3 linked regions of the Drosophila melanogaster genome follow. The protein of the gene in region 2 interacts with the protein of the main gene of each other region in a pairwise test. Each region holds a gene or a part of one and is shown on either strand. Other genes may lie near its edges.

Region 1 (8,425 bases), on a different chromosome or scaffold from region 2:
TTAAAACTTCTGCTGTTAGAAAAGGCCTGCCTGACATTTGCCACCCTGGCAGAGCACTATTATGAATCCCGCCGGTACGGATCTACCTTGCGATCCATTGAGCTGGCCTGTCGTTGCCAACAAGTGCTCAATAAGTATATGGCCAATGTGGTTTCACAGTACAGTTGCTTGCTCGGCCGGGCAGGTGACTGTTTTTTCCAGATTTCGAAAAACTGGGAATCCATTGAGGAGTACATCCAGCAGTTTGGGGAGTTGGATCCCTCGATGGATTTCATCGGCGACGAGTTGGCTCAGGAGCTGGAAGGCGAAGAAGAGGAACTGCCCTCCTTGGCGCCTTCCAACAATGTGGAGCAAGTGATGCTGCACAGCTGCAAGTGCTACGAACAAGCATTGGAGCATGCCCAGAAAGCGGAAAGCAATGAACTGCTTCGGCGACTAGGAAACGTGCGGAACGAGCTTGGTCTTAAGTACATGTACTGGGCTCAAGGTACGCAGCGCAACTATTGAAATCATAAATATATACTAATGGAAATTATAAATTGCAGAGGAATACAGTGAGTTAATGAAGAAGAAGGAGTCCACAAAAGACGCTGGAAATGACCAAACGGAGGATAGCCCAACGGCAGATCCTTCCGAGCCGTTGTATGTGAAACTGACAGTTAATTCTTATGATTGCCTACGTCGAGGAATAGAAGCCTTCACTGCCGTGAAAGATAATGTCAATTTGGCGTTTCTATATTGCAATATTGGTAGATTTATGCGCCTGCGCGCCCATCTTATCATGCCCAATGAGAGGTAAATAGTGTTTTAATAATCATGATTCGTTTTAACTCCTTTTCATTTAGTGCCATAACCTTAGAAAGCCAAAAAGCCTTCTACAACGAGGCATTCAGCTATTACGTGAAGGCCAAAGATTGTCTGGATACTCGTAAAGCAAACCCCGAACTATGGGACCTCGTCCATTGGGAATTATCCACTGCCACTTTTACGTTAGCTAAACAACTTCAGGACCACAGCGCAGCAGACAAATCCAGCCTAGTTGACGCCTCCAAAGAAGTGCTGGAATTGCTTCAGAAATCGTTGCGACTTTGTGATGTCGAACACCCTGGTGCACGACAAGTGCTATACAGTTTTCGATCGGGCTTAATACACAAAAGGTAGGACGGAGGACTATGAGTTGCAATTAGCAAATGCATAAAAACAATTATTGACTTTTCCAGGATTGCTTCCTTCCACTACTCGCAGCTGCGTTCTCATGGCTGTTGTGATTTCTCTCAGCTGCCCAAATCTACTCTACAGCTCTGTAAATACCACTACGAGAAGGCCACTCAAATTCTAGAGAGCCTTAAGGAGGTGGGAGACCTGTTGGTGGTGCAGCTAGAGCGGATTTCCCTTCATGAATTTCTGGCCGAACGTGAGTATACCAGATGGTAAAGGCCACTAAGAGTTAGAAAATAAATTAATTCAATTTTCCGGCAGTTTCCACTCACACCGCACAGAAGATCAAGCAAATGCAAGCGGCTTTGGAAATTTGTTTACAGTGTCACCTCATATTTGCCCACGTCATCGATACTAACAGTGGCCAAGTGGCCGATGACGAGTTCGCCGGCCATTTGACGCTCTTTGAAAGCCGCCTGCAGAATGCGCTGAAGACGCTTACGAAGCTCACGCTGGCCGGCAAGGATCCCAAGCAGTTGTCAAAGCTGTACAAGCGCATGTATATGGAAACCTTGACTGGGAAACATGGCCTAGGGGCCCAGCAATCGTCGACAGCTTGCTTAAAGCATTTGCACATGCTGCTCGCCCGGCTACGGGCCATGTGCGAAACACAGCTGGCCCCGCGACCAGCCGTACGTGTCTTCTGATAGGTTTTGCCCCAGAACCCACAACAGTTCGAATTGTATGCATTGCTTGACGCTTGTTTATTGATGTATCATCTCAGCCCCGCCGCCCGCAGCCGCATTCATCGCTCTCCAAATGATCTGCTCCGATCTGCAAAGCAGCCAGTACAAGCAGCACAGCCAACTGTAGGATCTGCAGATTGAAATTACCATTAATGTGTCCATGCCGATGAAACCATAATCATCTCATCTCACCTTGCAACGCAGACTACTCATTTTGTAAGCGTTTGGAGACAGTTTTCTGATCTTGTCATCGGCAGCTCGGCTCTTATAAAGTCTGAGGGCCCTGGCCCAAACGTGTCGTTTATCTAGATTAGCCTCCGCTAAATATCTTGTTCAACAAGCTGGCTATATCGGACTTGTGATGGATGTTCAGATCCGTCAATCTTGGCTTGAGGTTTCAGCCGACTTACATTTGCATTGTATTGCGAATAATGTTACTATTTAATATTTATCGTGTCGTCGTTGGCGCTAGTTCCAGTTTCCAGTCTTATAATATTTTTACTTAATTCCTAAGAGCAAAGCAACTAGCTTAAATCCCAATAAAGCAATCTTGAAGAGAAAATGCATACGGAGAAAGATCGTTTTCACTCGTCTTCTGGCTACTGGATGCTGGTACCCTGAGCCTGGCCAACATCTAAATAATTTATTATTCATTATTAAATGTTTGCGCCCGCCCATAAGCCATTCACAATTTGTGTAGCGCCAATTGAATGTTATAAAAAGCTTAGTGCGGCAGTTTGGAAAGTGGAACGGTTGTGTTTATAATTTTATTGTAATTTTATCTCAATTTTTTTTGCTTTTGTATATAAATTCTACCAACGCAGCAGAATTTTCAGGCCACTGCCTTGACTTCACTGTGTCACTGAAAAATCGGTGTCAAGCTCTCGGCACCGTGGGGCAAAGCAACTGCAATACTGATCGAAACTATGCGGATCCGGAGCACGAAGAGTCATGCGGTCGGAATCTTACGTAATGGGTCTCGTCTCTGGTAGACGATGGCGTAAGCACAGACGCCTGCTATCTGGACCGGCCCGAATTGAGAGCCAGCATTTTGGCCAGTGCGGATTCGGCCTGGCTGCACGTCTCCGGCGGCGTCTCAAGATTGCTGGACAAAGAGGCGAGGCCTGGAACTGCGTCTGCGGGAACCCGGAGAGCCGAAACTTGCATCATATTCGTCACGTAAGAGTTGGGCCTCTGCCTGGATCTGGTATAAAAACAAAACATTGCGCCAGAATAAGACATTAGTTACCTTCGCATCGATCAACTAACCAACTCAGCCTCAGAATGATGAAGTTCATGGTAAGCCTTAAGTTCCAATATTGTTTCTATTGACACCTCAACTGAGTCCAGTATGATCCTTTCAATAAAATATAACTACATATTATAATAATTGGATAATATGATTGGATCTTTCTTTTCTAATACACTTCAGTCTAAACCCAAATTAATTGAATTTTTTCTTGAATCCCTTAGTGCATCTGCCTCTGCGCCATCTCTGCCGTTTCGGCCAACTCCTACGGACGTTCCCGTGGTGGATACGGTGGTGCCCCAGTCGGTGGCTATGCCTACCAGGTGCAGCCTGCCCTGACCGTTAAGGCGATCGTTCCCTCATACGGTGGTGGATACGGCGGAAACCATGGAGGATATGGCGGTGCCTACGAGTCGGTGCCTGTGCCCGTGTCCTCTGCCTACAGCGGTGCCAATGTGGGATCTCAGTACTCCGGTTCCGGCTACGGCGGTGCCCCACCAGTTGATGCCCAGGCCATTGCCCTCGCCAAGCTCGCCCTGGCCGCTCCCAGCGCTGGAGCTCCTCTGGTCTGGAAGGAGGCTCCCCGCTACGCCCAGCCCGTCTATCCCCCCACCAGCTACGTGAACCAGGAGTACGGACACAGCGAGAAGGTGAAGGGAGGCTCCGCAGCCGCTGCTGCCAGCTCCGTGGCCGCCGGAAAGAAGGGCTACAAGAGGCCCAGCTACTAAGTGGCAAAACGTTGAACAGTGAACCAAAAACTTACCTGCCCATAAGGAACTAGGTCATAATAATAAAAGCCAAAACATCAAGACTTAAAATTTTGAGTACTGTATTCTTGCTGGGTTTTTAGTTTCGGGCCGAGAATTGAGATCTGCATATCTTAGCTGAATTGGCATAGACTTGCGGTTCATTGCAATGCCAAGCGATACTTTGAGCCAGCAAAAATTTCGTGGTTTCGTAGTTAAATGAAAATGCTGCTTAAAGTGCTAAAGAATAATTCTCATGGCGAATGAAGCTGAAAAGCTAAAACTAAATTCATTTGTGGGGCCACTTTAAAACTATAGTTCGTCAAATAAGCCTTGACTTTTTTAAGTTACCATAAGTAAAGAACCTATTAGATAAAATGAGATTAGATAGAATATAGTTTTGCTTGAAATTATGTTTTTGTAAAATTTCAAAATGATTGAAATACTTTAAAATGTTTTAGTTATAATTTTAAGTTTTGTATGTGACTAGTGGTCACTTTAAAGGGATGATTCTATATAGGTTTTATCAGAAAAACCGGCTGGAACCAGTTCTAGAAGAATCCTCACTTAGACAAGCCAAGTTCCGGACACAACCGACCTGGAAACCATTACCCCCGAGAATGTGGATAATATAAAGTTCAATTCAACAAATTTTGGACTGTATTCGAAAATAAACGCGTTCGTGGTTCCCATTTGGAAGAGTCGCGTGTTCGTAGTGCTATCACTACCCAACACCCGGTAGAATAGCACATCGCGTAACCAAGCGATTTTATAATGGCTTGACAACAAGTACATAAATCAAATGTGAGTATATTCCAGCCGGGCAATTATGAAATGCCATTTCTGGGCTGAAACAGAACAATTAGTGTATATAGGTCACGTAAATGTCCAGGCTAAAATTTGCGTATAAAAGCGAGCGTTTCTGGTCGGTAAATCATAGTTTGATTGATTACCCCAAACCAACAAAACTAAGCACTCACCATGAAGTACCTGGTAAGTTGTGGTAGTCCCCGTGAAGGAGTGGCAGCCAACTGATCCTCCGGATTTCCCCTTTTCACCTTCAGATTGTCTGCGTTACCCTGGCCCTTTTCGCCTACATCAACGCCAGCCCAGCGTACGGCAACCGTGGAGGTTATGGTGGTGGCTACGGTGGTGGCTACGGTCCTGTTCAGCGCGTCGTCTACGAGGAGGTGCCCGCCTACGGACCATCCCGTGGCTACAACAGCTATCCCCGCAGCCTGCGATCGGAGGGTAATGGAGGAAGTGCCGCTGCCGCTGCCGCCGCTTCCGCCGCTGCCGTGAATCCCGGAACCTACAAGCAGTACGCCATTCCCTCCTACGAGTTGGATGGCGCTCGCGGCTACGAGATCGGACACGGCTACGGCCAACGTGCTTACTAATTCTCGCTTCATCGGCAGTGAATTGAACTATCGACTCCTTGCTAAAATCCTCGAGTGGCTGTCATGGCGAAACTCTGAGAATCAGTGAATAAAAGCAGCTTGAACGCAATGGAAAATACCGAAAAGAAATACGTATTGTGTGTTTTGCATTGTGACATACTTTTCAGCGCATTCGGGTTAAGATTTAGCGGTGGGTCATTATTATTATTCCACACACAAGATGGGTTTCAAAGTGGGGCAGCTAGAATATTCACTGCGGCAGATTGTACAATACTATATAGAAGTACTATTGCACTTTAAGCTACAAAGTCGACAGGTTAAGCTTCAGTGACTCAAGAATTTAGTCACCTATGAAACCCTTAGTTTCACTAATAGATTCTTAGACGAACATCTTAAATTGTATAATCAAACAAAGGGCTATATATATTACAATAACATATTTGCCAATGTGCATAAAGGCATAGACTCTGAAGTTATGTTTTATCGTTAAAATTTGGTTTGTTCTGTTTACTTGAAGGTATAGATAATATTATAAAATCCATATCCAATAACCATTGGTCAGTCGTTGGCCCGTTATCCCATTAACCCGCTTGCGTTCCCGCACGCACCCAAATGCAACCATTGATTTTGGGCCTCAGTTGGGAGCATCTGCATCTGCCACCCCCAACGAAGGTCAACCGGCGAATGGAGGCGATACGATACGCTGCGGTGAGCAACCTGCTCGAGCCGAAACGAGCTCAACGTGGAGCCCCGATATCTGGCTAGGAAAAGCTAGAAATCCACAGAAAGTTCCCCAACAAACTGGCCGAGAAGAGACGACGAAGCCAGCTCTTGAGCCGTGATAAATTTCTGGGCGAGATCACGTTTCGAGTGCAACAATAAATTTGCTTATATAAAGAAGTGTGCTTGGCCATTTAATATGTTAATTCAGCCAACTGTGCCAAAACCCATACATCATAGCCATGAACAAGTTCGCTGTAAGTGTCCCTGAGAACCGCTTCCGTATTCCCTGCCGCTCTTTCATTTTCCGGACTTATGCTAACTGAAAGTTTTCCTGATTTTCCAGACTCTGGCAGTCATCTTCTGCGCCTGCATCGTGGGCAGCTGCTACGCCAACTACGGTGGCCAGCAGAGCTACGGACAGCGATCTTACGGTCAGGATAGCTCCGCCGCCTCCGCCGCCAGCTCAGCAGCTGCTGCTGGAGCCGAGGGTCAGCAGCGTTATGAGCGCCCCGTGGAGATCATCGCCGGCGGTTACCGCGGCAGCTATGCCCCCGAGATCCTGCGTCCCATCCAGGTCAGCGGTGGATATGGCGGTGAGCGACGTGGCTACAACGGTGGCAACTACCGTCGTGCCGGCTACGGACCCCGTTGGACTGTCCAGCCCGCCGGTGCCACCCTCCTGTACCCCGGCCAGAACAACTACAAGGCTTACGTCTCGCCCCCGGAGTACAGCAAGGTGATCCTGCCCATCCGCCCTGCTGCTCCAGTGGCCAAGCTTTTCGTCCCAGAGAACCAGTATGGCAACCAGTACGTTAGCCAGTACTCTGCACCCCGCAGCAGCGGCTACTAAGCGCATACTTGATTATCCCCAGCCAACCTGGCGGATACTTGATCTCAGCCTGATCGTGTACATAATAAACAACAAGAAAAAATCATAATCATATTTGGAATATATATTTTTCGGGGCTTTTAGGTATTTTTTTGTATATCTATGAGAAAACAAATTTTCGGGTCTTTCGAGCTCAAATGCAGCTGCAGCAGCTGTTCAGAGCGGGTGGAGCATTGTTCATTTGATTGCAGTCGCCACCGGGAATGTCTTTGAGTGGCTCGGCGGAAACGTGCTCCGGATTTGCTTGCTCCGGTTCGCTCGCAAATCACTCAGCAAGCCATAAACAGTCAATTATTTATTGTGTCAGTCAGTCAATAATCTTGAGGCCAGAAAGCGCCACAGTTCGCCGTGTTTGCCGATTGCCGCGCTCATTTTCATATTTTCTGTATTCTGGCTGGTAAGCAATCGCATCTGCTGACTTGTTTGGGGCCAAACTCTTGGCCAAGAGCTTCAATGTTGCTGGCCATCGCTTGACATTCGAGTCGAGCGGTGAATCACGGCAAGAATTCTGGCATCGAGTGCGGCACAATTCTTGGGAAAACTTGTCGTTGAAATTAAAACCATGTGTGTAGAGGTTTTGTCTGTTTGAATAATTTTAATTTTTCGTAAAAGTGAATTTATGTTTTGTGTTAAGCCGAAATATAAATAAAGTTTAATATTATTACTAACTAACCGTACGACGTTTTTCAGTAAAACAGCTTAAAATTTGGTATTTAGCAACATTGTAATATTACATTAAAATAAATATAAGAATGAAATTCTAATAAAAAGGCATAACTTAAATGCCAATCTATTTGAAACATAACTTAGAATATTGACGTAATAATCCACTTTGTTGCTATGCACATTTTTGTCCATTTTTAAATAAATTCATAGAACTGAGTTTACGATCCACAAACTTTTCAAAAACATTGTTCAGCTTTAAAACTAGAGTTTGCCCGACGTCCAAAGACTTTCGTACGTCGCTGGTTCCGGTTAGTGTTCATTGATCGGTGGCTTAACCCCAGTTGGCCCGATTTCCGATGCGTGCATGGGCCGGATCGCCGTGGAGTACGGCCAAAGCCCCGATACCGCACACACCAGAAGCGAACAGAGCGTGCCGAGCAGGGGGAAGTCGCTATCAATGGAGCAGCTTCTCGGGGTTCCCGGGGTTGTGGCAGTGCCGCAATTTGGCGCGCAATTTCAATGAGCATAGAAATTGGAGACGATCCCGTGGCCTTATCGCCCTGGGCCGGAGGGGACGGAGGGGGCTGGAGATGCTGCCAGTGGCGGCCCCCCGAAAGTGACTGGTCATCGAGGTGGTTTGGTCACGTCTGGTGAGCTCACAAATCGCGGAGCAGCTCAAATGGTGTTGCTATAAAAGCAATTTGGACACACGCTCTGGTTAATTAGTTTTCGAAACAGTCCGTTCCTCGCACCACCACCAAAAAAAAATGTCCGCCACCCTACGTCTTCTCTGCCTGATGGCCTGCTGCGTCGCCCTGGCTGTGGCCAATCGCCCCAACTACGGCGGA
Region 2 (13,244 bases):
GTTGTGCCATTGCTCCTGCTTATCGGCTCTAATCACCGATCGATCTTGCAGGTGCACCCCCAGACGACGTCGCTGAAGATACGGACGGGTCGCCATGTGCCCAAGCTGGGCGTGATGCTGGTGGGATGGGGTGGCAACAACGGATCCACGCTGACCGCCGCCCTGGAGGCCAATCGTCGCCAGCTGAAGTGGCGCAAGCGGACGGGCGTCCAGGAGGCCAACTGGTATGGTTCCATTACACAGGCGTCCACCGTCTTCATTGGATCCGATGAGGACGGCGGTGACGTGTACGTGCCCATGAAGGAGCTGCTGCCCATGGTGGAGCCCGACAACATTATCGTGGATGGCTGGGATATCAGTGGCCTGCATTTGGGCGACGCCATGCGCAGGGCCGAGGTCCTAGACGTGGCTCTGCAGGATCAGATCTACGATCAGTTGGCTCAGTTGCGCCCACGTCCATCCATCTACGACCCCGACTTCATCGCGGCCAATCAGTCGGATCGGGCTGACAACGTGATCCGTGGCACTCGTCTGGAGCAGTACGAGCAAATCCGGAAGGACATCCGCGACTTCCGCGAGCGCAGTGGCGTCGATTCGGTCATCGTCCTCTGGACTGCCAACACGGAGCGCTTCGCGGATGTCCAGCCTGGTCTGAACACCACCAGCCAGGAGCTCATCGCCTCCCTGGAGGCCAACCACTCGGAGGTGTCACCCTCCACGATCTTCGCAATGGCCAGCATCGCCGAGGGGGTGAGTTATTCTCCTCCATTCTATTGATAAGCAAGACTAATTACCTAATCCACCATGTATCCACTTCCACAGTGCACCTACATCAACGGCTCTCCGCAGAACACCTTTGTGCCCGGACTGATCCAGCTGGCCGAGGAGAAGAATGTTTTCATTGCCGGCGATGACTTCAAGTCCGGTCAGACCAAGATCAAGAGCGTGTTGGTAGATTTCCTGGTGGGAGCTGGTATCAAGCCGGTGTCCATTGCCAGTTACAACCATCTGGGCAACAACGATGGCAAGAACTTGTCCGCTCCTCAACAGTTCCGCTCCAAGGAGGTAAGAGTCCAGCCAGGATTTCCAGGATTCCTCCTCTTATTAATAATAACTCCTCCTCCGGCAGATTTCCAAGAGCAACGTGGTGGACGACATGGTTGCCTCCAACAGGCTGTTGTACGGACCCGATGAGCACCCCGACCACGTCGTGGTAATCAAGTACGTGCCCTATGTGGGCGACAGCAAGCGGGCCATGGATGAGTACACATCGGAGATCATGATGGGCGGCCACAACACCCTGGTGATCCACAACACCTGCGAGGACTCGCTGCTGGCCACACCGCTCATTCTGGACCTGGTTATCCTCGGCGAGCTGAGCACTCGCATCCAGCTGCGCAATGCGGAGAAGGAATCCGCCCCGTGGGTTCCCTTCAAGCCAGTGCTTTCCCTGCTGAGCTATCTGTGCAAGGCTCCACTGGTGCCCCAGGGCTCCCAGGTGGTCAACTCGCTCTTCCGCCAGCGCGCCGCCATAGAGAATATCCTGCGTGGCTGCATTGGTCTGCCGCCCATCTCACACATGACCCTGGAGCAGCGGGTAAGTAGGGTCAAGTCAAAAGCAATCATTCGGATCCTTAATATCCTCGATTTCTTCTTTCTATTCACAGTTCGACTTTTCTACCATTACAAATGAGCCGCCTCTAAAGAGGGTCAAGATCCTGGGCCAGCCCTGCTCCGTGGAATCGGTCACCAATGGAAAGAAGCTCCATGCCAATGGACACTCCAATGGGTCCGCCAAGCTGGCCACTAACGGCAATGGTCACTGATGGATGGCCGCATCCCTGATTTTCGATCGGAATATATAATTGGAATATATATGGTTTTAGTTGGATAAACTACGAAATAGACTTAAGCTACTATTACTAACTGAATCGTTTAAATATAAAAAGGCGTAATAGACTGTTGTCTGTATACCACAAAACAAATATTTATTTCTTATGAGCACGATCATATCATATCATATCTTAGAGATCATGGAGTTTACTGGATATGGAACACATCTTCAAATGTTTGGGAAACAACAATGGAAGGAAGTTCCTGCATTGAAATACTTAATTAATATCCACGTTTAGCCTAAAATTTAGTTCTCGAAGATTATTCAAAAGTTCTTAGTATGAGTAAATTTTAGTTTAAGATGGGTAAATAATAACGACGTTTGTTTGGTACAAATAGTTTAGTTATTATCATATTAGAAGCTTTTTGTTCTCATATTCCAATTTCATTTTTTTGAAGGCATGAAAATAACATGAAATAGAAAAAAAAATGCCACCTTTTAGGCGAAAAACGCTATCTGTTGTGGTCTTGCTGCTAAAAATGTCAACCTTTTTTTCTGACAGTTGAATCGGTTTGATCCCGATGATTGTTGCTAAATATTAAAGTATAAAATATTATATGAGTGTTAAATTATGTCCGGTAAGACACTTTATTTTAATAAAGGTAATCGATCGTTGAGGACATAACCACTATCAAGTAACTAGATTAGTTATTGTATTGGGACTTCAAAGTTGATATTAAAACTAATTTAAATTAATGATTTAATTCAGTTAGATGATACCGAATGATACACACACGCTTTCTGTAATATGATTAATCGATTGTCAGAAGGAATAATTAAACCCGCTAAAAAATATGCAATGAAAATATGTTCTTCAGATTGTATCTTTACAATTGTTCCATACATTATGATAAGATTCTTTTGAGAATGGTGTGAGCCCACAATAAAGATTTTATTTACCCATCTGTTGCGATATCGAACTTTGATAGATTCTTATCTTGGATATAAGGCGTGTGTCGTATTGTAGCCACAGAATGTTACACACATCACCATCAGGAACTGAAATATTTACCTTATGAAACTCAATCGAATACTATTTTCATATTCGTTACTCATAGGGTAAAAGTATATATACTAGATTTGTTAAAGTACATTTATATAGTAAAGTATATATTCTTGATCAGGGTCAATATTGGAATCGATCTGGCCGTGTCCGTCCGTGTAGAGGTTGAGATCCAAGTTTGGCCAATTTCTATCGGTACAGCAAAAGAACTTTGGCCACGCACCTTCTAACCGCCCACACTTTTAAATTTTTTGTATATTTTTTTAAATTTTATTATTTGCCAATTTCTGGCGGGAACTAACCGAATCTGGATCTGGGCTATGGGATTTTTCCGTTCATATGAAAGTCTCGATCTTAGGCACTATAAAAGCTAGAAAGTTAAGGTTAAGCATGCAGATTCCACAGACATAGACGAAACTTATTTTCGATAACCCTGGTTGTTAAGCTTACCATAACGCCCAAAGCTGCCACGCCCACAGTTTTAAAGATAATGTTGAAATTTTTCATTTTGTATGAATTTGTATTTAAGTTTGTTGTTTTGATAATGTATTTTATAAGACTTGCAAGCATTGGGATTAAAATGGACATTTTTGAAAAGAAAATACGCTGAACATTTCTAATCAAACTAGTTCTAAGGCACAGACTAGTATGAGTATACTAGAAATGCCAAGAAAAAGGCCACAGACTGGACTCCCATGGCATAAATATGTCCCATCCTTCAAAAGCGCTGGGTGTTTTATCCTCTATTGCTTACCTATTCTATTATGGTGTCACACGTGATTAATATGGTTATGGGTGTTGTCACATTAGAGAGTAATTACTTCCTGCTCAAACTTATAAGCAAACTTATCGAGGTGACCCCGCACTCAAGCCAATCAATTCGATTCCCATTCGACCTGTATGATATTAGTGGCTTTGAAGGCGATTGATGCGATGACATGTGTATAATTAACTTCTTCGATATAGTCCCTTGCCATGGACAATAACTAAAATGGTGTCCGTGGGGATTGGCTTGGCCCTTAAACGTCAAGTTGTTGGCACAGACTTGCATTCCCCTTAGGGAAAAGTGGACACAACTCGCCAGCGAACTAGCAATATATTATATATCCCTATACGAATCTATTAGTCTACTTAAACCCAGTGCTATACTAACAAACATATACAAACTATAACTGGGTTACTCCGCGGTTTTCTAACCCATTGAGATGCCTTACAAATTCACCTTTGTGGCTTGAACCGAGCTATTGTGGCTTATCGAAACCTGTTAGTTAGGCTTCACTTTTGCTCACTCAATCGACTTCACTACAAAAAGACGATTAAGCATTACCAACCACACTATCACTGGCACTTAACTGGGATCTCGAAAAGATTTTTTTGGTTCGATTACTGGCAAATGAAATGTACTAAATTAATATTTTAACTATGCTATGTTACATATATCATGAGCATGAGAAACTCTTTAAATCTCAAAACCATTTTAAATAGGGTTTTGATTTGTATCAGTAATAAATGTTCTATAGAAAACGTAAGAAGTTATGTCTGTGAAAGGATGTTTTCATAACTAACATATTTATTAAGTATTAAGTATATAGATAATATATAAATAAGATATACATATGTAAGAACTAAAAATGCCACACTTTTACTATACTTAGGTTACAATGAATCCTAAAATGGATTGGAAATATACAAGGGTCATAATTTAAAAAATTAGATCTATGATATAAGGACTTTTTCGAACTTATAGGTCCTATTGCTGTAAACCTTTGCTTAAAGAACATTTTCGTGCCTCGGAATCTAAACATCATAAGTTACCAACGTGATTTTATATTAGCAGTAGAAAATTATTTCTTGACATGAGGGCAATGATACCATACATCAGGACTGATTCGAGAGTCAAGTGCCCAATAGGAGTACATACTCATGCGAAGAAGTACCTCCATATCGTGGTAAGCACCGAGGAAGCTCGCCGAGGACGATGTTCATGGGTGATTCATTTTCGATTGCCGAAATCAGAGTTCCGATTCGTGGTGACTCGTCTGGGAACAATTTGTATAGGAATCTTGATAAGGGCTCCAGCAATAGTTATCCGCAGCTCGTTAAACGCAATCGAGATCTACGTCAGGATTGTTAGAATATTGGAACACGCAGCGATAGCTACATTTACGGTGCCTTGCAAATTGGACGATAAGAGTTCGGATCGGTACAATCATTACCGGCAGTCCTCCCACTTCGTGGATCACTGTATCTGGAACTACAACTGGAACTTGTCCGGGTTTATCTTATCGTAGCCGATGCGTGGTCCGCTTCGTCAGGAGCACCGACGGCTAGTGGTTAGGGCTAGAGGTGCCGGTAACTAGCAGCGGCTAGAGCCCACAAGATAGCACTGAGCAGCGACGTCGGCGTCGACGCCACGGATGTGGATGTGTTGGGTGGGTGGGCCATAGTTCAGTCGTGAGTTGCGTTGCGTTGCGTGCGGTCAGAGGCTCTGCCGACAGTTGGGAACCCGGTCTGGAGTCAAGAGCCCAGTGTTTTGATCAGAGCAGTGCGAATTCGGTAAATAAATAATCCCGTGGTAGCCGAGGGTCTGAAATTATGCAAATTGCCTGGGTGCAAGTAGCACTAAGTGTGGCAAGCAGCTTAGCCCATAGTTTAGGACGATAGCCCAACTATGTATCTTCGATACTTTGTCATCGCCCGCGATAAGATATCATCCGACCCAGCCCGGTATCCGATCCACAGGTTTTCGGGGCACTGCTAACCCGGATAGATAAAGCTTTGCTTGCCACTATCACTCCCCGAACAAACGCCATTAGCCGCGTGTAAACACGAGTGTTGGGCTTCGTTTGATGGCTCCGCCAATGGACAGACCAGACCATAGGTGCTAGAGGTCGGGCAGACAGTGCCCAGCCTATCCCGCATATGTGTCTATGTGTCAGATAGACACTATTAATCAATGTGACGCAGCCCCAGCCCGGGGTTGAGTCAGAGCACCTGCTCCACCCTCAATCCTAACGTGGCACCCCGTTTGGGGACTTACCACTTGCCACTTTGACAAACGAGCCGTCTACTCCCTCTCATCCAAACCAAATCCCCGCGCTTACAGGCTTTCCTATCAGCATTGATAAGGCAAACTATTGACGGAGCAAGTTCGTCCGTGGAATGGCGACGCTCAGTGCGGCGCGTAGGCAAAAGGCAAAGTGCCCGCGCCGTTAAGAATGGAAATGTTTGTGCGGATCCCATATGGGCACGCATCATCGGAAAGAAACATCTGGCGCACTTCGGGAATGCCAAGTTCAATTGAGCCCCTGACGGCCACTGGGTGAAATGCCTCCAGTGCATTTCCAACATTGCTCTGTAGGTTGCAATTACGACCTGCAATTGATTCGCCCTAATCGCTGTAATTACATCTATTACCGAATCAATTAAACAAATGTTCTGCAAGTGTGGTGTTTCGAAAATCTTTCCCACACCCAACTAGGGAATCCTATAAGTTCAACGCCAGAATAGAAGGTATCAATCCAAAATTTCTTCAACTAAAAGGAAGTCAAAATAATATATCCTTAGGGTCACTAGAAATCGGATAGAAGTTAATTGATAAGCAAAACTTTGACTTTAATGGATACCTTGGAATGCAGATAATAGGTGCAGATACTTTTTCTATACTTATATTTTGGTTTCAATAGATTACGCTATCGTAGGTTTGGCTGTGAAATTTTTTTATGAATCATGAAAATGGCAAATACTATACAGTGCGCATATCAAATATGTAGGAAATGCTGCATCCCTTCAAAAACTATTAATAAAAACAGGATTATTTATAATACATTGTCGTTTTATTTGTGTAAATACCATAAGCATCAAGGTCAAAATTATGAATTCGTAACCAATTATCTCAGCAGATAGATAGCTGTTGTTTTTTTTTAATTAAACAATATGTTCTTAAGGAGATTTACTTAAAATATATTTGTGTGAAATATTTCATTTAGCTGCGCCAATGAGGGTTATTTAATTCAGTTTTTTGGGGATGATACATTTGATCTGTGTACAAAATAACTCTAAGAGGAGGTGAATTATATATTTAATTGAGCGTGTCCGATACAATATGGCATCATGTTGCTGCTGGGCACGCAAAGTAATTAATTCCAAAGATAATCAGTGGCAGAGTATCATGCTCGCAAAGGAACAGCAAAGTCTTATCCGATTGTTTTTCGCACTGCAGTTGCCAAATTGATGCCCATCGACATGGATATACCAAAGGAAGCGGAGTCGAACGACAAGTTCATAGTAAAGTATCGCCAGCAGTATTACGATTTGTCCAGGTTTATGCACAAGCATCCGGGAGGCATAAACACACTCAAAGGTCTCAACAGCGGGGACATGACAGCTCGCTTCCTAAAGGCGCCGCCACATTCGGATGCGGCCATGTACTTGATGAGGGAGTACAAAATCGATCCAGAGGACTCTCGGAAACCAAAGTCGAGCCAAAGGGAAACGTTGCATCACGATGAAGATGGGACTTTGCGACAACGGCCCAGGGAAACGGAGGACAAGAACAATAACCAGGTGGACGATAGTATGGAGGTAAGTTGGATGAGCGGTTTTTAATCTGTAACTCTAGTTGCTGGTCGACTGGATCGCACGTTAAGTTGGTCACAATGCTATCGGGGCGGGGTAGGTCTGCGATCCAAATCTCAGCTAAAAAATATATTATTAACGTAAGGCATGGTTGAAAGGAACACGCGTGTTTTGCAAATCCAAGATTCCAGTAGCTCGCTCGGTCAGTCAGTCGATGGAATGCTTTAATGTTTTTGGGAGCTATGTAGCATGAGTTCTCACAACTGTCGCGACTTGCTGGCCAGCACGAAGACCTTTGCCTTGGAGTATATGCGGATGTCCTCCTCCACGGTGGTCAGCTCCTTGTCGATCTCCGCCTTGCGGTTGCGCACCCTCAACGTCTGTGCAGTCATGGGCATGTGGTTCAGTTCATTAACCAGCTGTTCGTAGCCTGTTAAGATTCGTTAGCAAGGGTCAAACTTATAGTAGTAACATTAACTCACGTTTCTTAGCATTAGTGAGGTGCGTCAGTCGGTCCTGATCGCTGAGCAACACATGGCCACGCGGACAGTCGGGATCCAGCGATTCCGCAAGCTGCTTGGCCACCGCCTTCTCGCGCTTCTGCTTTTCCAGGTAACGCGGCAAGCGCACCTCATCTCGGGCTGTCAAAAAGTACAAATTCATGACTAGTTCAAATCAAATCAGGAGGGAATATAAGATATTTAAAATAGAGAATAATTATAGATTATATATGAAATAATTATCAAAGATATTTAATTTTGTCATTACTGTCGCTGACAATTGGTAAACAAGGGATAAACTCACATCCTAGTTTATGCTCACGACGCTTTGACTTAGAGCTTATGGTGGTGACATTGGAGGCCGTTGTGAAACGACTACGGGCACTGAGTGGAGCCTCGTCGTCTGAGGCGCCGTAGTTTGCAGGTTCGGCCTCGGTCATGGGCATAGCCTCCATTTCGGACATGTTGAAGCGACTCTGCTTCGAGGAGTTCGAACGCGCCGAAAGCGGCAACTGTTCCAAATCTTCCTCGTTTTCATATTGCATGGGTTTGTAGTTTTCCCCGTATTTTGCACCGGATTCCTCCAGTATAGATCTGGCATCAAAGTTACATCTGCGGATAAGATAAACCTTTGTGAAAACCTTCGAGTTTGGTGCAAAAAGTCATACTTCTTCAGAGCATTTGTTAGATAGAGTTCGTCGGTAATGTCCTCAGTTTGGATGGCTATGCTGGTGGAGCTCCGATTCGTGCCACACGATTGACAGCGATCAATGTCTGTATCCGACGAAGGCTCTTGGAGATTCTCGGATTCTAAGTTCTCCGACGGGTCATATAAGATGGGATTGCGCTCCTCCAGGCCATCGAAGCGTTCCCCCTCCGCCGGAACGGCCACGGCCAGTTGGTGCTGTGAGCGAGAGGTGCTGCGGCCATTTTGCAACGAGTTCTGTTTTATAGTTTTGCCCTTAGCTGCTGGTTTCTCCGCCTTCGAGTCTCCCATCACGGAGGAAGAGCGTCGCAGCGGGGGCATCCATTTCGGGCGCGTCGGCTCCTTAGCGGCCAACTTCTGGCTGGTGGACTTTTCCAGCGAGCGCAGGCTCACCTTGTTTTCCTTGAGGAAGTTTCGGGACTGTGTGACGCCTGTGGGAACGGAGACCAAAACAAATTACCAACTGGTTGCCATGGCCAAGCGGCTGTTTGGAAAAGAAATCTTACGCGGCACCGAAAAGATGCCCTTTAACGTTGGAATCGGGCGAACTGAAGTATTCGACATGTTCCACCTACTCCCGAACTATAACTAGACGGCTGGGGCTCCAGAAATGTGATCTCGACTACGACAAGTGGAAACTGCGTCGTTGTGTGAAGTAAGGCACAGGTTCAAATGACAATTTTGAACCAGCTGCTTGTGATTGTACCTGCTCATCGATGCCCGATAACATTATATATCGGTTCGGTGCTGACCCGCGGCTGGCCACATTCGAGCCAACTAACGGTTTATGGGATGTCCTAGTGTTTAAGTAAATATTAAATAAAAAAGCAAGTAGAAATCAAGTGAAATTCTTACTATTCTGTAATTATAGTAAAGTTAAAATAAAATAAATAAAAAAATATAAAATAAAATAAAAACTCTGCACAGCTTCTAATTTTAAATATTTAATTTTCAAAGGTAATTAACCAAACCAATTTATGGTAATACATACTGTATTAATTTATTGACTAACCTATTGTAAATTCATGAATTCCAGCACCTAGTGGACTGGTCTAAGGCAATGCTTCCGCAGATAGCTAACATAACGGATTGCTACGATGAGTGGGTTCACAAGCCGGTGGACAGGCCACTGCGTCTCTTTGACCCTTGGTACTTGGAGATGTGCACCAAGACGCCCTGGTGGCTGGTGCCCCTGTTCTGGATACCAGTGATCGTGAAATGCGCCGTGGAGGAGTTCACCACCGCCTGGCAGGATAGCAACCAGGTGAGTAGTCGCGCAATCTTCGCATTCTTGGATACGATCTTCTAAAAGTATCTTCTTTCTGCAGCTGGCTGTGTTCTCCGGTTACTTTTTATTTGGCGTGCTCCTGTGGTCTTTCCTGGAGTACACACTGCACCGCTGGGTGTTCCACGTGAAGCTGAGCAACAAGAGCGGAAGTTGGCTATGCACCTTCCACTTCATGATCCATGGCCTGCACCACAAGGTGCCCTTCGATCCGATGCGACTGGTGTTTCCGCCCCTTCCCGGCGCAGTGCTCGCCGCGGTCATCTACACCCCGCTCAGCTTTGTCCTGTCCCATCCGCGAGTGATCTTGTCTGGAGCTCTGGCCGGCTATCTGTGCTACGATATGATGCACTACTACCTGCACTATGGGAACCCTTCGCTATGGGCCTTTGTACACATGAAGCGCTATCATCACCACCACCACTTCTCGCACCAAACTCTCGGTTACGGCATCAGCAGTCCCTTGTGGGATGTCGTCTTCAAAACGAGAATCCATCTCCGCAAGCTGAGATACCAACTGCGCTGGTCCTAGCTGCAATAAATGGCTAATACAGTGCTACTATAGAACAAATTACATTCAGTTTTCAACGCAACAGAGTTGCTGCCGCAGCAAATAGTTCAATCAAATCGGAAATTTGGTTTTTAGCCTATTTGTGTAGGCTGAATACTGAGCATTAGGCTTAAGAATTATTTGTAAGACTTTTACCAATTTCTATTAAACAGGAATACACTTCCAATGATACCAAAGAACAAATGGAAAATCCTTTTTGAAAACAGAAAACTGGGCAATCAAAGGAACTATTGGAACTATTTTGGAACTATTTTGGGGAAAAACAAAAAATTTTCGGCAATTTTATGATGCGTCACCAAAGTTTACATTAGAAGTTTGGTACCTTACCTATATATGAGAGGGAATACTTTGATTAACTTTTAATTCCTTTGGTAAATGCCTTATCATCACTCTGGAGCGTTTAAATATTTTTGTTTAAAATCGAATAAATAAAGAAGCAGACAGACGGTTTGTATGAACACTTTCATTTACCTATTTCATACAAATCTGGTACAATCAGTTCAAGTTTGTTTAATAATTAATATTATATTATTAAAATTAGCTTAAGATAATTGTTTAAGACCTGTCTTAAGTGGAATTTCTCATTGGCGTTGCTTGGTCACACTACCAAGAATCCAGCGAAAGTTTTGTTTATTTTTTTGGGTCCCAATTTCTCCTGCTGGAATAATGCTAAATGCCAAGATCGGGAAGGTCGGCAAGGTACTGGTGTGCGGGATGAAGGGCGTGGGCAAGACGGCGCTGATAGAGCAGCTGGTCTACGGCCACGTCAATCCCGAAACGGTGAGAATGCCTTTGGCAGAGCTCAAAGTAAAGCTGATGTCTCATATCCCGGAGTTCATTGCAGGAACTGCATCCAACCATTGAGGATATCTACGTGGCCAGCGTGGATACAGGCAGGGGCGGAGCCCGAGAGACCCTGCGCATCTACGACACGGCCGGATTGCAGGGCGAGCAGCAGCAGCTGCCACGCCACTACCTTCAGTTTCCAGATGCATTCGTTCTGGTCTACGATCCCATGGATCCGCGCAGCCTTGACATGCTGGCCGACATCAAGGCTGACATTGAGAAGCACAAGGAGAAGAAGGAGATTCCCGTTGTGGTGCTGGCCAACGTGAGGGCACGAGCAGCCCCAAATCCCGTCGAGAAGGTCATGGACCGCGCCAACATCTGGTGCCAGCGAGAGCGCATAAAGCACTACACGGTGAACGCCATGGAGCGTCCCTCCCTCTACGAGCCATTCACCACGCTCTGCGCCCGGCTGCACCCAATGCAGACGAAGAGCACGTTCCCTCAGCTGCGCCAAGTTATGCAGAACCGGCAGAAGAGCGAGGCTTAGCTGTTTTGAACGGACGAAAGGGAAGAGATATAATTTAAGTTTTATTCGGGAGTGTCCCAATAATCTCCGATACTTAACAGTAGCTATGAATGCCACAGATTTGGCTTTAAGTTCAAGAGATCCTTGGGATCTCCCCAATCGTACTCGTATTGATCCATTTAGAGTCTACTTGCCTTGTATTAACTGTTGTGCTTTAATGTGGGCCAGAGCCCAAGCCACTTGTACTTATGTCTCTTTGTGTGTGTCCAATTGTATCTACTATTTATTACACCGACATGTCTTCTCTCATTCCGCGAGAATTAAGCGTAATCAGTATTCACTGCTCAATCGCAGCTCAAATGGCGCGTAGTGATTAAATAACCATGCCGAAATTCTGCTCTACGGCAATCCCCTTGGATCAGTCGTCTGCAAGCCCCTTCCTCGAGCGCAATGCTTTCGCGTGCCGCTTTTCTTACTGTTCTCCTAACGCTGATCTATGCCAGCCATGCGGCTGCGGGATTGAGCATTACAGTTCCGGGCACAAAGTGGTGTGGACCCGGGAACATAGCAGCCAACTACGATGACCTGGGCACTGAGCGCGAAGTGGACACGTGCTGCCGGGCGCACGACAACTGTGAGGAGAAGATTCCGCCGCTGGAGGAAGCCTTTGGCCTGAGAAACGACGGGTTTTTCCCCATGTAAGCGTGGATTCCATAGCACCCATGCTGATCTTGGGATCAATAATCGTGCGCTCCCCGCAGATTCTCGTGTGCCTGCGAGTCGGCCTTCCGGAACTGCCTCACCGCTCTGCGAAACGGACACTCCCTGGCTCTTGGCAAAATCTACTTCAACACCAAGGAGGTGTGCTTTGGCTACGGGCATCCCATCGTTTCCTGCCAGGAGAAGCAGGCCGACCTGTTCGAGACACGATGTCTCAGCTACCGAGTGGACGAAGGTCAGCCGCAGCGCTGGCAGTTCTACGACTTGGCCCTCTACACACACGTAAGCGGCAGCGAGGAGGACTCCCGAGATTGAACTTCGACGTCCGGCGATAAGCCCTCAATTGTTTACAAAACAGATTGTGCGGGGAGCGAAACCTAATGTGATTAGGATTTTGACGGTAGGTTATTTGTGTAATAAATTTTCGAAGCTTAAGGCTAAGTAGCCTGGAATTATATTAAAAACTGAATTCGGAGGCTCAATTAAAGTTCAAAATGATCAAGAAAATATTCGGAGTATTTTATATTTCATCCAGATTAAAGTGGGATTACCTTATAAGTAATAATTAATGTGATGTGCGCATCAGGTAATGTAATCATCTTGTCTACAAATCGTTGATATCATGTCAGCCCGCCGACGCTGGGATTGTGAAGAACGGCATGTCGTAGAACT
Region 3 (10,202 bases), on a different chromosome or scaffold from region 2:
ATCCTCGCCGCCTCATCGCCGTCTAAGGATGAAGAGACAGTTGCGGCGGGCTCACCCCACTGGTCTAGTTGGCTAAGCTTTTCTTGGAGCTCCCGAATGCGAGCCTGGTACATTTGCACATCCATGTCCTGACGCTCCTTCATTTCGGCCATACGATCGTTTCCTGCTGTCAGAACATCGATACGTTTCGCTAACTTCTCTTTTTCCAGGGCGTGCTGTTGTGAAATTTCTTCCGCTTTGCTCAGACGAGACTCTTGCAACTGGAGCTGATGCTTCAGCTCCTCAATAATGGTTGAATCCAGATCATTATCCACTGTCACAGTGGGCGTGGCGGTCGTTGTTGCCTTCGTTTTGTATTCCTTCAGACGCTTCATAAGCTTGGCGGCTTTAGTCTGTAGTTCGGTCTTTTGCTGCTCGGCATTGGACAACTGCAGCTCTAATTGAGCGATTCTCGTGTGCAGGTGCTCCACATCGGTTTGCGGCGCTTCGTTGGCAGCACTGGCCCAGGGATCCTCGTCAACGCCCCAATCAATGGTTTGAGCAGTCTGCTCCTGAATTTCCTGCTTTGGCTGGCACAAATATGCCTTTTTGGGCTGGATCAGTGGTTCCACCACTGGCTCCGTTTGGGGCAGACCCAAATCCAAATGGTGACTAACAGCATCGGGCACTGTTTCCTCTGCCTGACCGCCGAAGAACATGTCCAATGTAGGCGCTGCCGCCGGTTGGATAAGCTTCTCCAGTGCCGCCAAGCGATCACGTTCCTCATTTGCCGTTTGAATGTCGGCCAGCTGCTGTGTCCGTTCGCTTAGCAGGCGCTCTACTTCCGAAAGACGCTGCTCCAACTGCAAACGTCGCTCTTCCTGCTCGGCCAAGTTCTGATTTCGCGCCAGCAGCTTCGTTTCCAAGTCCTGTGCATGCTTCTCCAGATCAGAAACGTTTCGCTGAAGATCCTCGATTGTAGGTGGTGGAGAAATAGGTGGCGGTGCACTTGCCGCTAGGGAAGAAACCCTCAGTGGTTGGGCTATCTCATCGAAGGGCGAGGGGGCGGCCAAAGCATCGCCACCAAAGAACAGTGAAGCCGGTGGAGGATGCTGCTGAGATTGTACAGCAGGATGATGATGCTGTTGCTGCTGCTGCTGGTGCTGCTGCCTGGCCAGTTGTGCCTGCAGTTCGCTTAGCTGCTCCGCCAAACGCTTGTTCTCCGTTTCGATGTAGACCTGATCATCAGTTTGATTCTGACCCAGAGTGTCCAACTCAGCGATTCGCTGCTGCAGCGCCTGCAGCTCCTGGCTGTGATTGGCGCATAGAGCATCTATCTGAGTGCGCAGGTTGTCCATTTCGGTCTTGTCCTGCATGGCCTGCATGCGAAGTTCCTGTAGCTCCAAAACATCTTGCTCAGCACTGTCATGCTGCAAACGAAGCAGTGTCACTTCCCTACTCAAAGTGGATCTCTCGCGTTCCACCTCCTGGAACTCTTCGTTGAGTCGCTGTAGTTCCTCAGTTCGTTGGGCCACCAGCTCTTGGGACCGCTCCAATTGCTGGCAAAGCTCTCGCGTTTCGGCTGCAGCTCGCTCCACATGGCTATTGAGGTCGCATTCGAGTTCATCGAGCTCCGTGGCCTTGGCTGCCAGTTTGGCATCGTAAACCTGCCGCTGACGGTGCAGATCCGCCTCCTTGACGTCCAGTTGCTGTCGGAGTTCGGCCAGCTCCTCCTGGCTGTGGCTGCTCATCTGTTCCCTTTCTGCCTGGGCGGTGGCTGTTAGTTGCGAGTGTTTGGCCAGCAGAGACTCGTACTCCGTTCGCAGGCCAGCCAGTTGCTGCCTGCTCTCTTCAGCTTCGCTGGTGAGCAACTCAAGTTGGCGACTTTGAGCTTGCTCCCGTTGTCCAAGCTCATAGAAACGCTCCTGTAGCTGCTGATCCTGTTGGCGCTTCTGCTCTTCCTGCTCGCGCTGTTCCTTCAACTGTTGCTCCAGTATTTGCACTTTATCTTGGGACGCCGCTTGTTGGTTAGCCTGACTGGCGGCCTGTTCCTCAAGAGCAGCGCTTCTGGCCTGCAGTTCCGTATTCTGAGCCTCCAGCGACTCAATGTACGAGGCATCCTCCTGTAGCTTGGCTTGAATCCCTTCGTGAAGTGTCTCCAGACGGGCGATGGTCATCTCAAAGTTTGCCTTATCGCTGGCGTACTGTTGCGCCAACAGAGCGTGTTGCTCCTGGGCCGCCGTAAGCTGGACACGAAGCTGTTGAAGTTCTCTCTCTGCCACTTGGAGGGATTCCGCTTGTTGTTGCTAAAAATTTTTTTTATTTGTTGCATTAGAAGGTAAATGAGGTTCAAGTTCAAAGTTCAATCTCACCGATTGTGATTCCAATAGTTGATGTGAAGTTTTGGTAATGGTATCATCGCCTTCACCGGCTGCCCTGCTCCTTTCCAGCTTAAGAATCTCTTGTCGGAGGGCAGTAATCTGTTGTGGTTGATTATTATCTTCGACATCAAATATGCCTAAAAATCGATTACTCACCTCCGCATCCTTTTCTAAACGCAGTTGCTCGTGAGCGGCCCGCGCGTTCCGCACATGTTCCACCTCGCTGTCTTGATCCTGCTGCAGTTGCTGTAACTCACGCTGCAGCGATTGAATCGTGGCATTGCGAAGCTTTATCAACTCCTTGGACTTTTCGAATTTCTTCGATTTGGCCTCTAATTGACGCCGCAAATCCTCGACAGCAGTGGGCTCTTCGTTTACCCTCTGTCCAAGATTATGGATTTCCTCCTGAAGCTTAGAGATTTCTTCCCTGAGTCTGGAGTTTTCCTGGCCCAGTTGAAAGACTTCCTGATCGGCTTCTTGGCGCTCGCGTCGCAACTCCTTGCTTACCAGATTGGCATCTTGGAGCTCCGCATCACGTTCTTGGATAAGTTGCTCCTGCTCTTGTATTTGCTGCTTTAACTGACGCAGGGCATCGCGATTTTCCAGGTTGAGATGGATCTTGGCCTTAAGGTCTTCGTTAAGCTTGCTGACCTGTTGCTGCAGTTGTTCAACCCGATGGTTGTCCACGATGGGTTCACGTTCCACCTCTTCTTTCTGCTTGACAAGCTCCTGCTGTTCTTGAAGTTGACTAGTAAGTTCCTGGACCTTCTGCTCGAGATCGGCATTGTCCTGTGTGCGTTTCTTGAGGTTAAGGGCATACTTCTTGAGTTTCTCGCGCAGTTCGCGGTTCTTGAACTGCTCCTCTTTGTGGGCATGTTCTAATCCTTGATACTCCTGGATTTGCTGGTTCAGGGCATCGACAGTCTCCTGGCTGGAGGTCAACTCTCTGACCTGCTGGGCAACTAAACTTTTGCTAACGCGCAGAGCCTCTCGGAGCTGATCCGGATCCTCTTTGGCTCTCAATTCGCGCAGCTCCTCTTGTGCTGATTGCAATTCCAGCATCTTAAGGTTAAGCGCGTGCTCGCTTTCGCTGACACTCTCAATGAGTTGCTGCTTCTGCTCGGCAACTAGAGTCTGTAGGATACTCAGCTCGCCCTCCAGAGATTCGGCTCGGGCCTCTAACTCTCGACGAATCCTTGTTTGCTGCTCCAGTTGCTTCTCATGGCTCATTTCCTTGGAGTTGAGCAGCTGATCGAATTGCTCTGATTGCAGCTGGAGTTGTGTGATCTCGGCACTCTGCCTGGCCACCAATTGCAGCTGTTCTGCTTCGGTTTGACGCAGCTCCTTGATTTGATCTACCTGCTCCTCGATCTGCTGGCGTTGCTCGGCCTGCAAGGAGCGTGCGTCCTCCAGCTGGGACTGCAATTGCAGGATTTCATCTTCCCTTTGAGAATCGGAACCAACTATGGCCAATGGCGCTTCGGTTTCAGGATAGCTTTCCCGCAATTCATCCAATTCCTGGCGCAATCGGGAGATCACCGCCTTGAGTTCCGCGTTCTGTGCGTTTAGCTGCTCATATTCCGCAAGAGCTTTTCCGTTGGGAGCGGTCACGGCCACCACGGTCTCCACAACGGTAACAGTTTCTACCGCCGTGCTCGCTTCCTTAACCTTGTGGAGAAGCTCACTCAATTGGGTGTGACAGTTCTTGGCCTCCTTGGCCAGTTTCTTGGACACATTGAACTTGGCCTGCCTATCGTTGGCCTTGCGATAGGCCTCCAATTCAGAGTTGAGTTTGCTCAGGGATTTCTCGCATTTCTCAAAGAGCACGGGGCCTCCTTCGCCGGCGTCCAGTGTTGCGACAACTTCGGAGGAGCGTTGCATTGAACTGAGTTCCTGCGAGAGATTGGATGAAGTGGACGTGGAGGAGATCAGATCCTTCTCACGTTCACGCTGCAACAGCTGAAGAGAACTTGAACTTTCCTCCAATCTTGCCTGGAGTTGCAAATTCTCGGCCGACAGTTGCTCCAGCTTGTCCAATACCTCTCCGCGCTCCTGGGTGAAAAGTTCGAGACGTTCTCTAAGCTGGGAAAGAGTTTCGCCAGAGGAATCCTCCTCCTCAGTTTGCTCCGTCTGAGTGAGCTCGCTGACGTGACTTGGCCCTGGTGGATGCACTTGCTTCTGCTCCTGGGCGTCGCCCTCGCTGGCCGGACGTCGTTGGCCTAGGCACTCTAAGTGATGACGCTCCACTATTTCAATGGATTCCGCAGAACTGGATGAACTGAGTAAGGCCTCTAGGGCCTGTTGCAATTCCAATTTCTGCTCTTCCAGCAAACGAATTGTTTCCAGCTGCAGTGGATTATTGGACTCCGTCGATTGCTCTGGCTGGCGGTCGTCCTCTTGCATGTTGGCCAACTGCCATTGACCCTTCTCGTCCTCGAGGACGGCGATCCTTTGCTGCAGTTCCTCGTTATCAGCCAACAGTGAAGCCAACTGCTGTTGGCCATCTTGGGATTGGAATTTCTGCAGCTTCTTTTCCGCCTGCTTGCATTTCAGCTTTAGCTTTATGTTGGCCTTGTTAGTTTCGTCCAGCTTTAGCTTCAGCTGCTGCAGATCCTCCTGCATCTGCTTGCTGGCGGCACTGTCCTCCGAATGGTCCTCCAGAAATAGGGGCTTACTGCGACTGCTTTGCGCGAGTTTCTCCTCAAGGAGACGCAGATTCACATTGAGCACATTGAGTTCCGTTGTCTTTTCTGCGAGTTCTTCGTTTTGGGCAGCCATTGCCGACTTCTGTTCCTGCAGCTCTAGAAGCTGCGCCGCTATGGTGGCTTCCAGTTCCTCAAGGCGCTGGGAAACAATCTCATCGGTCACCTGGAGCTTCGCCTGGGCAGCAACTTGCTGACGCAACTCCTCATTAGTTGCCTGTAGATCAGCCAGCTGGTTGGTAAGCTCCTGGAGCTGTTTGGCTAGCTCCGCGCTCACCTGTGCATCGGTATGCGCTGCTTCCGATTGCGGACTGCGGGAAGCCTTTTCCTGCTCTTGTTCCAACTCCAGATTACGCTGTCTTTCGCGCGCCGTGGTCAGCTCTTCCTGAAGTTCACAGCGCGTCGTTTCTAACAGGTCGTTGACGTTTTCCAGCTCTGCTAGTCGTTCTCTTAAGACTAAAACTTCGCCCTGGAGGCGAGAGTTTTCCTGCACCTTCAGGCTATCCTCTTCTGCCTGGACCACACGCAATTGCTCTAACTCCTCGTTTCGCTGGGTGAGCGTGCGCTGTAATTCCGCACCGGATAGTTCCAATCGCTCGATGAGTTTAGCGCGCTTGGCCAGTTCTGTACGCAATTCATTTAGCTCCTGTTCCTGCCGGCCCTGCTTGAGTTCCGTCAACTTCATACGACTCCTGAGCAACTTCACCCGGCTTTCGTCCACCGCCTCCTGACCCTGGGCCTCCAAGTCCAAGGCAGAACGATGGCGGGATACGGGTGGATTGGAGACAGACGCCGCGTGTCGTAGGTCCGTCATGGAAGAGCCCAGCTCGGCGGTCGTTTGGTGGCCAATATTCGACTTTACAGAAAGAAGAGACTTGGCCAGATCCCTCTTGCGCTGCTCCAACAAAGCACGATTTTGTTCCGTGCGCTGTGTGAGCATCAGAAGCTTCTCGCTGCCACTGGTTTGGAGTAAAGAGACATCACCGGGGTCGCTGTCCTTTGTGGGTGAGACCAGTGGAGTGGAGGAGTCGCCGGAGCGCGTCTTCAACACGGTGAGCTTCTGACCCAGTGTCTTAAGCGACTCCATGGAGTCACTCATGCTGGACTTGTGTCGCTCATCCTGGGATTTCCTTAAGGCGCGTTCTTTTAAGGCAGTGAGGCGCTCCTGAAAGCAATCATTTCGAGTCATTTAATGATATGAACCACTTGATTCACAGCGCCTAACTCACCTGCTGCTTGTACAGATTCTCTTTAAGGCTATCCAAACGGCCCTTGCCTTTGGTGCCTCTCGTTGTGCTGGCGGATACATTCTGTAGGGTAGATTCAACAGATAATATTGAATCCTGCTTCACTTGGGGGATTTGTTCAGATTTACCCACCTGTAACGAGGACAGATCGTTGGAGCTGCCCGCTAAGCGTATATCCGCCTCGCCATATTCGTGATCGTCGGGCTGCAAGTGGTCATGATCAGTATGGACGCATGTACGTACAGGGAACACCAAGTGAAACCCACCTGAACGATGGAGAAGTCGTAGGAGCTCTCCAAAGCACCCGAATCTTCCGCCATTGTCGTTTCAATTACAAAATATTACTAACTATCCTAGCGTACCGGACCAAATGCAGCAGCAATAACAAAAAAAAAAAAAAAACCAAAAACAAACAAAAACACAAATCGGGGGAATCGGGAATATATATGCGGACTGGCTATCTGAAGGACCGATTATATATCCACGGTGGCTGCGCAGCGCTAGCTATCGACATTGACTGCAACGAGAGAGGGTTTACCATATAGCTAACATATATCATCCGCTTCCGATCGGCTAGAATTGTCTTTAGCTTTGAATTTGCGTTTCTTGTTGTTCTTTTTATTTTATGGAATTCGTGGCACTGACGTGTGCACCTCTCTATAGATGTGTGCGTGTGTGTGCGGCTGTGTGTGTGCGAGTGGGGCTGTGTGTGTGTTTTGTTTGCTGTTTTTCCAGCGCTTGTGTCGATTTTCGCCTGGTTTCTGAGTTACAAGCCACTAAGCACTAGATTGCAACGTAAGAGCTTTCTTATGTGCACGCTGACAGATGTATATTTACCAATTCTAATTAATGCCAGCGTAAAAACAATTCGATACCAGGGCTGCGCAACAACTGAATAGGGTCACAAAGCCCTGGTAAGTTATCGAATGACAGATGGCTCGATAGCACTTGCGCTCGTAATCAATCAATCGATTACAAACTAATTCAAAAATTTTGCATTAATTTCAAATTGATTTTATTTATTTTCATACAACAAATTATACTAGTTTGTGTATATAACTTGTTATACAACCGTTTAATATGTCTGATGCTTAATTTTAGACATGATTGGTTAATTTTTGGTTTTGGCTAATAATATTATTGCATACAATGGATACATTAGTAAATAAGGACTACTTAAAAACAGGTCAGGGATTCGACACTTAATAATAAAAACTACCACGACAACATCGTTAATATGCGAGTTATGCAAAACTGATAATAAGGAACCATTAGACTAGATGCAACACTTAAGTACAAAAGAAATAACCCTAGCCTCCAGTGTTTGTTTTTTTCTTCATGCTGCAGGAACAAGGAACGAGGTATGTATGGTTCGGAAGAGATTTCTATGATTTTAGGACCTCCATAACCGCTGCGTGTCCGCCGCGCTCCGCATAATCCATGGCGGTCAGGCCGAGCATGTCCTTCTCGTTCGGATTCTCGAAATAGGGCAGGACGTATTGCACCACCTCCGGAAATCCGTGCAGTGCTGCCACGTGCAAGGCCGTCCTGCCCGAAGGATCCGACTGGGCAAGATCGGCACCGGCGTATTGATAGGACTTCAATCTGATCATCGATCCCCTAGCAGCGGCCGCGCACAATTGCTCGCCCACCGCTCGCGAAGAGCCCGTCAAATGAGCACCACAGTTGATGAGCAACTGGATGATCTCGTGGCTATCGGTGGCGACAGCCTCCAGAAGTGGAGTGCGGTCATACCGATCACGCACGTGCACGGACACCCCGTTCTGCAGTAGGTACTTAACGATCTCCACGTTTCCCAGCTGACAAGCCAAGTGTAGGGCCGTTCGCTGGTCATGATTTGTGCCCGACAAGTCGGCGCCATAGGCTTTCAAGTTGTTGATCTTCTTGGGATCACCTTCGGCCACAGCGGCGTTGATCATGGCCGGAAAGAGCGTTTCGCCCAGCTGATCCAGTTCTTGGGGCGAGGACAAGTGCAGAGACCGTGCCACTGCGTCCACCAAGTCGTAGTCCTCCATTTTGGGAGCCTTTAAGGAGGTCAGTTCGCCCCTCAGGCTTGACTGCATCATCTATGAAATGCACACATTGTGGATTATCCATATTTATGTATGTATTGAATTATAGTCGAAACTTACCTGCTTCTTCATATCGAGTGACCACTCCTCCTTGCCGATGACATAGGCCAGCTTGGCCAGCGCCGCCTCGGGCGTCATATCGAAACCGGGAATTACACCGACATCGCAGAGCACCTTGCCCGTATCGTAGATCTCCGCCACTGTGCCATTGGGACACTGTGTACAATTGATGATGATAACGCCTCGTTCACCAGCCGCACGCAGTTCATCGATGAGATCTTTTCGGTTCGATGGTATGTTTCCAGATCCGAAGGATTGCAGGACAACGCCGCGAATCGGTGGCGCCAGGAAAGCCCGGAATGTGGAGTGCGAAATGCTCGGAAAGATTCGCAGCAAGCCGACGTTCTCGTCGAGATTCAAGTGTACGCAAAACCTTTCAATAGTGCATGGCCGGAATATCAGGCGGTAGTCGACGTTCACATCAATGCCGATCCTGGCCAGTGGTGGAACATTCGGTGAGTCGAACGCGTCTAAGGCATTCGAACTGACCTTCACCGTCCGATTGCCGCGCATCAACTTATGGCCAAAGAAGATGCAAACCTCCGGAATGATGTAGTTACCGGCTATGATCAAGGCTGACGTAAAATTGTCCTTGCCATCGGTTCGCGTCTCAAAGATGGGTATTTGGGAGCCCGTGATGATCACCGTCTTGCCCAAATTTTCCAACATGAAAGACAATGCAGATGCGGTGTAGGAAAGCGTGTCGGTGCCATGGAGCACCACAAAGCCATCGAAGAACTCGTACGATTGCTAGACAATAATTTGGAAAGGATTAATATTACCTTTCATATATATATATATGTATGTACCTGAATATCGCTGGCGATTCGCGCCCAATCGTTCATCGTCATATTGCTGCTGTCCAGCAGCGGTGTATATTCCGAGATCTGGTAGATAACCCGGCGATCTACGCCCTGCACAATGGGCAGCACCAGTGGAGCCATCGATGCAGATGCTCCAAAGCGGCGCAGCGCGTACTCCTCATCGTGGATGTTTGGATATTTGCGGATGCTGCGCACCAGGGCATTGGGAATGGGAGCTAACACTGCGATAATTATAGAATATTAATATTGATAGTCACAAACTCCGTGACAAATTAGTTTCCTAATCAAGATGATGATTTATGGTCACGCTTCGTGTGTCAAATGTTTACTAAAATACCTAATTAGACCACTCAATAAATAGCAAGCAAATAGTCAATATTTAAATAGAAGCATCAACAATCTGTTGACTGCCAATTGATTTGTTTTGTTTACATTCATACCAACAATTTCAACTTTCATACATATTATTCGAATAAAATGTTTTCAAGTGCATTGCTCTTATCATATCTGGCCATTTTCTAAGACTCCCCTTGTTAGTAAAAGTGGGATCTTATCTACATGGACAGATTCGGGCAATCCCAATGAATCCTCGTATTCGTGACATTCTGGGCTGCTTACCATTCCGCTCGTTGCGCACCATGCCGATGGTGCCGCCAGTGTAGATGACCTTCACCCGGGCCTCTTTGACATCCTGGGCCATGAGTTTTCCATCACTTTTATTCCTGCGGATCGTGGGACTCGGCAGAGTGGGCGATGCCGGCGGCATGCTTTTGTCCAGCGAGGCCAGCCTCTCGTGACCATTGGTCTTCAGGACGGGAATATCCATAATATAGAGTAAAGAGTATAGAGGATGATGGACTGCGGAGCGCCGGTTGCGAAGCTGTGTGCCTTATCACTGGCTGCTCAGATGGTGTCG

What was found.
Region 1: the proteins of Fa2h (region 2) and Cp15 interact in a two-hybrid assay, tested with the Drosophila melanogaster proteins (one large-scale study listed by BioGRID).
Region 3: the proteins of Fa2h (region 2) and lva interact in a two-hybrid assay, tested with the Drosophila melanogaster proteins (one large-scale study listed by BioGRID).

Annotation. Positions count from the first base shown.
Region 1 is NT_037436.4:8,723,647-8,732,071, forward strand, and holds Cp15 (chorion protein 15), read left to right. Parts: upstream 1-4,834; 5' UTR 4,835-4,880; coding exon 4,881-4,892; intron 4,893-4,963; coding exon 4,964-5,299; 3' UTR 5,300-5,420; downstream 5,421-8,425. Other genes in the region: CG6511 (uncharacterized protein), read left to right, coding at 1-487, 546-795, 846-1,157, 1,221-1,414, 1,480-1,865; CG43965 (uncharacterized protein), read right to left, coding at 1,939-2,034, 2,097-2,117; Cp18 (chorion protein 18), read left to right, coding at 3,189-3,203, 3,378-3,881; Cp19 (chorion protein 19), read left to right, coding at 6,262-6,276, 6,366-6,872; Cp16 (chorion protein 16), read left to right, coding at 8,345-8,425. UniProt on the Drosophila melanogaster protein: Chorion membrane (egg shell) protein; plays a role in protecting the egg from the environment.
Region 2 is NT_033778.4:7,443,655-7,456,898, reverse strand, and holds Fa2h (fatty acid 2-hydroxylase), read left to right. Parts: upstream 1-5,345; 5' UTR 5,346-5,453; intron 5,454-6,903; exon of another isoform or gene 6,904-7,119; 5' UTR 7,120-7,130; coding exon 7,131-7,481; exon of another isoform or gene 7,482-7,732; coding exon of another isoform or gene 7,733-7,905; intron 7,906-7,957; coding exon of another isoform or gene 7,958-8,116; intron 8,117-8,279; coding exon of another isoform or gene 8,280-8,587; intron 8,588-8,643; coding exon of another isoform or gene 8,644-9,112; intron 9,113-9,187; coding exon of another isoform or gene 9,188-9,245; exon of another isoform or gene 9,246-9,426; intron 9,427-9,717; coding exon 9,718-9,945; intron 9,946-10,009; coding exon 10,010-10,498; 3' UTR 10,499-10,710; downstream 10,711-13,244. Other genes in the region: Inos (myo-inositol-1-phosphate synthase), read left to right, coding at 52-750, 823-1,065, 1,130-1,597, 1,668-1,826; CG11125 (uncharacterized protein), read right to left, coding at 7,733-7,905, 7,958-8,116, 8,280-8,587, 8,644-9,112, 9,188-9,245; kappaB-Ras, read left to right, coding at 11,204-11,317, 11,382-11,873; CG30503 (uncharacterized protein), read left to right, coding at 12,303-12,550, 12,614-12,887; sPLA2 (secretory phospholipase A2), read right to left, coding at 13,198-13,244.
Region 3 is NC_004354.4:3,958,126-3,968,327, forward strand, and holds the start of lva (lava lamp), read right to left. Parts: upstream 7,203-10,202; 5' UTR 6,630-7,202; coding exon 6,576-6,629; intron 6,514-6,575; coding exon 6,442-6,513; intron 6,373-6,441; coding exon 6,292-6,372; intron 6,228-6,291; coding exon 2,517-6,227; intron 2,460-2,516; coding exon 2,352-2,459; intron 2,286-2,351; coding exon 1-2,285. Other genes in the region: CG6428 (uncharacterized protein), read right to left, coding at 7,695-8,396, 8,463-9,212, 9,272-9,507, 9,905-10,112. UniProt on the Drosophila melanogaster protein: Lva and spectrin may form a Golgi-based scaffold that mediates interaction of Golgi bodies with microtubules and facilitates Golgi-derived membrane secretion required for the formation of furrows during cellularization.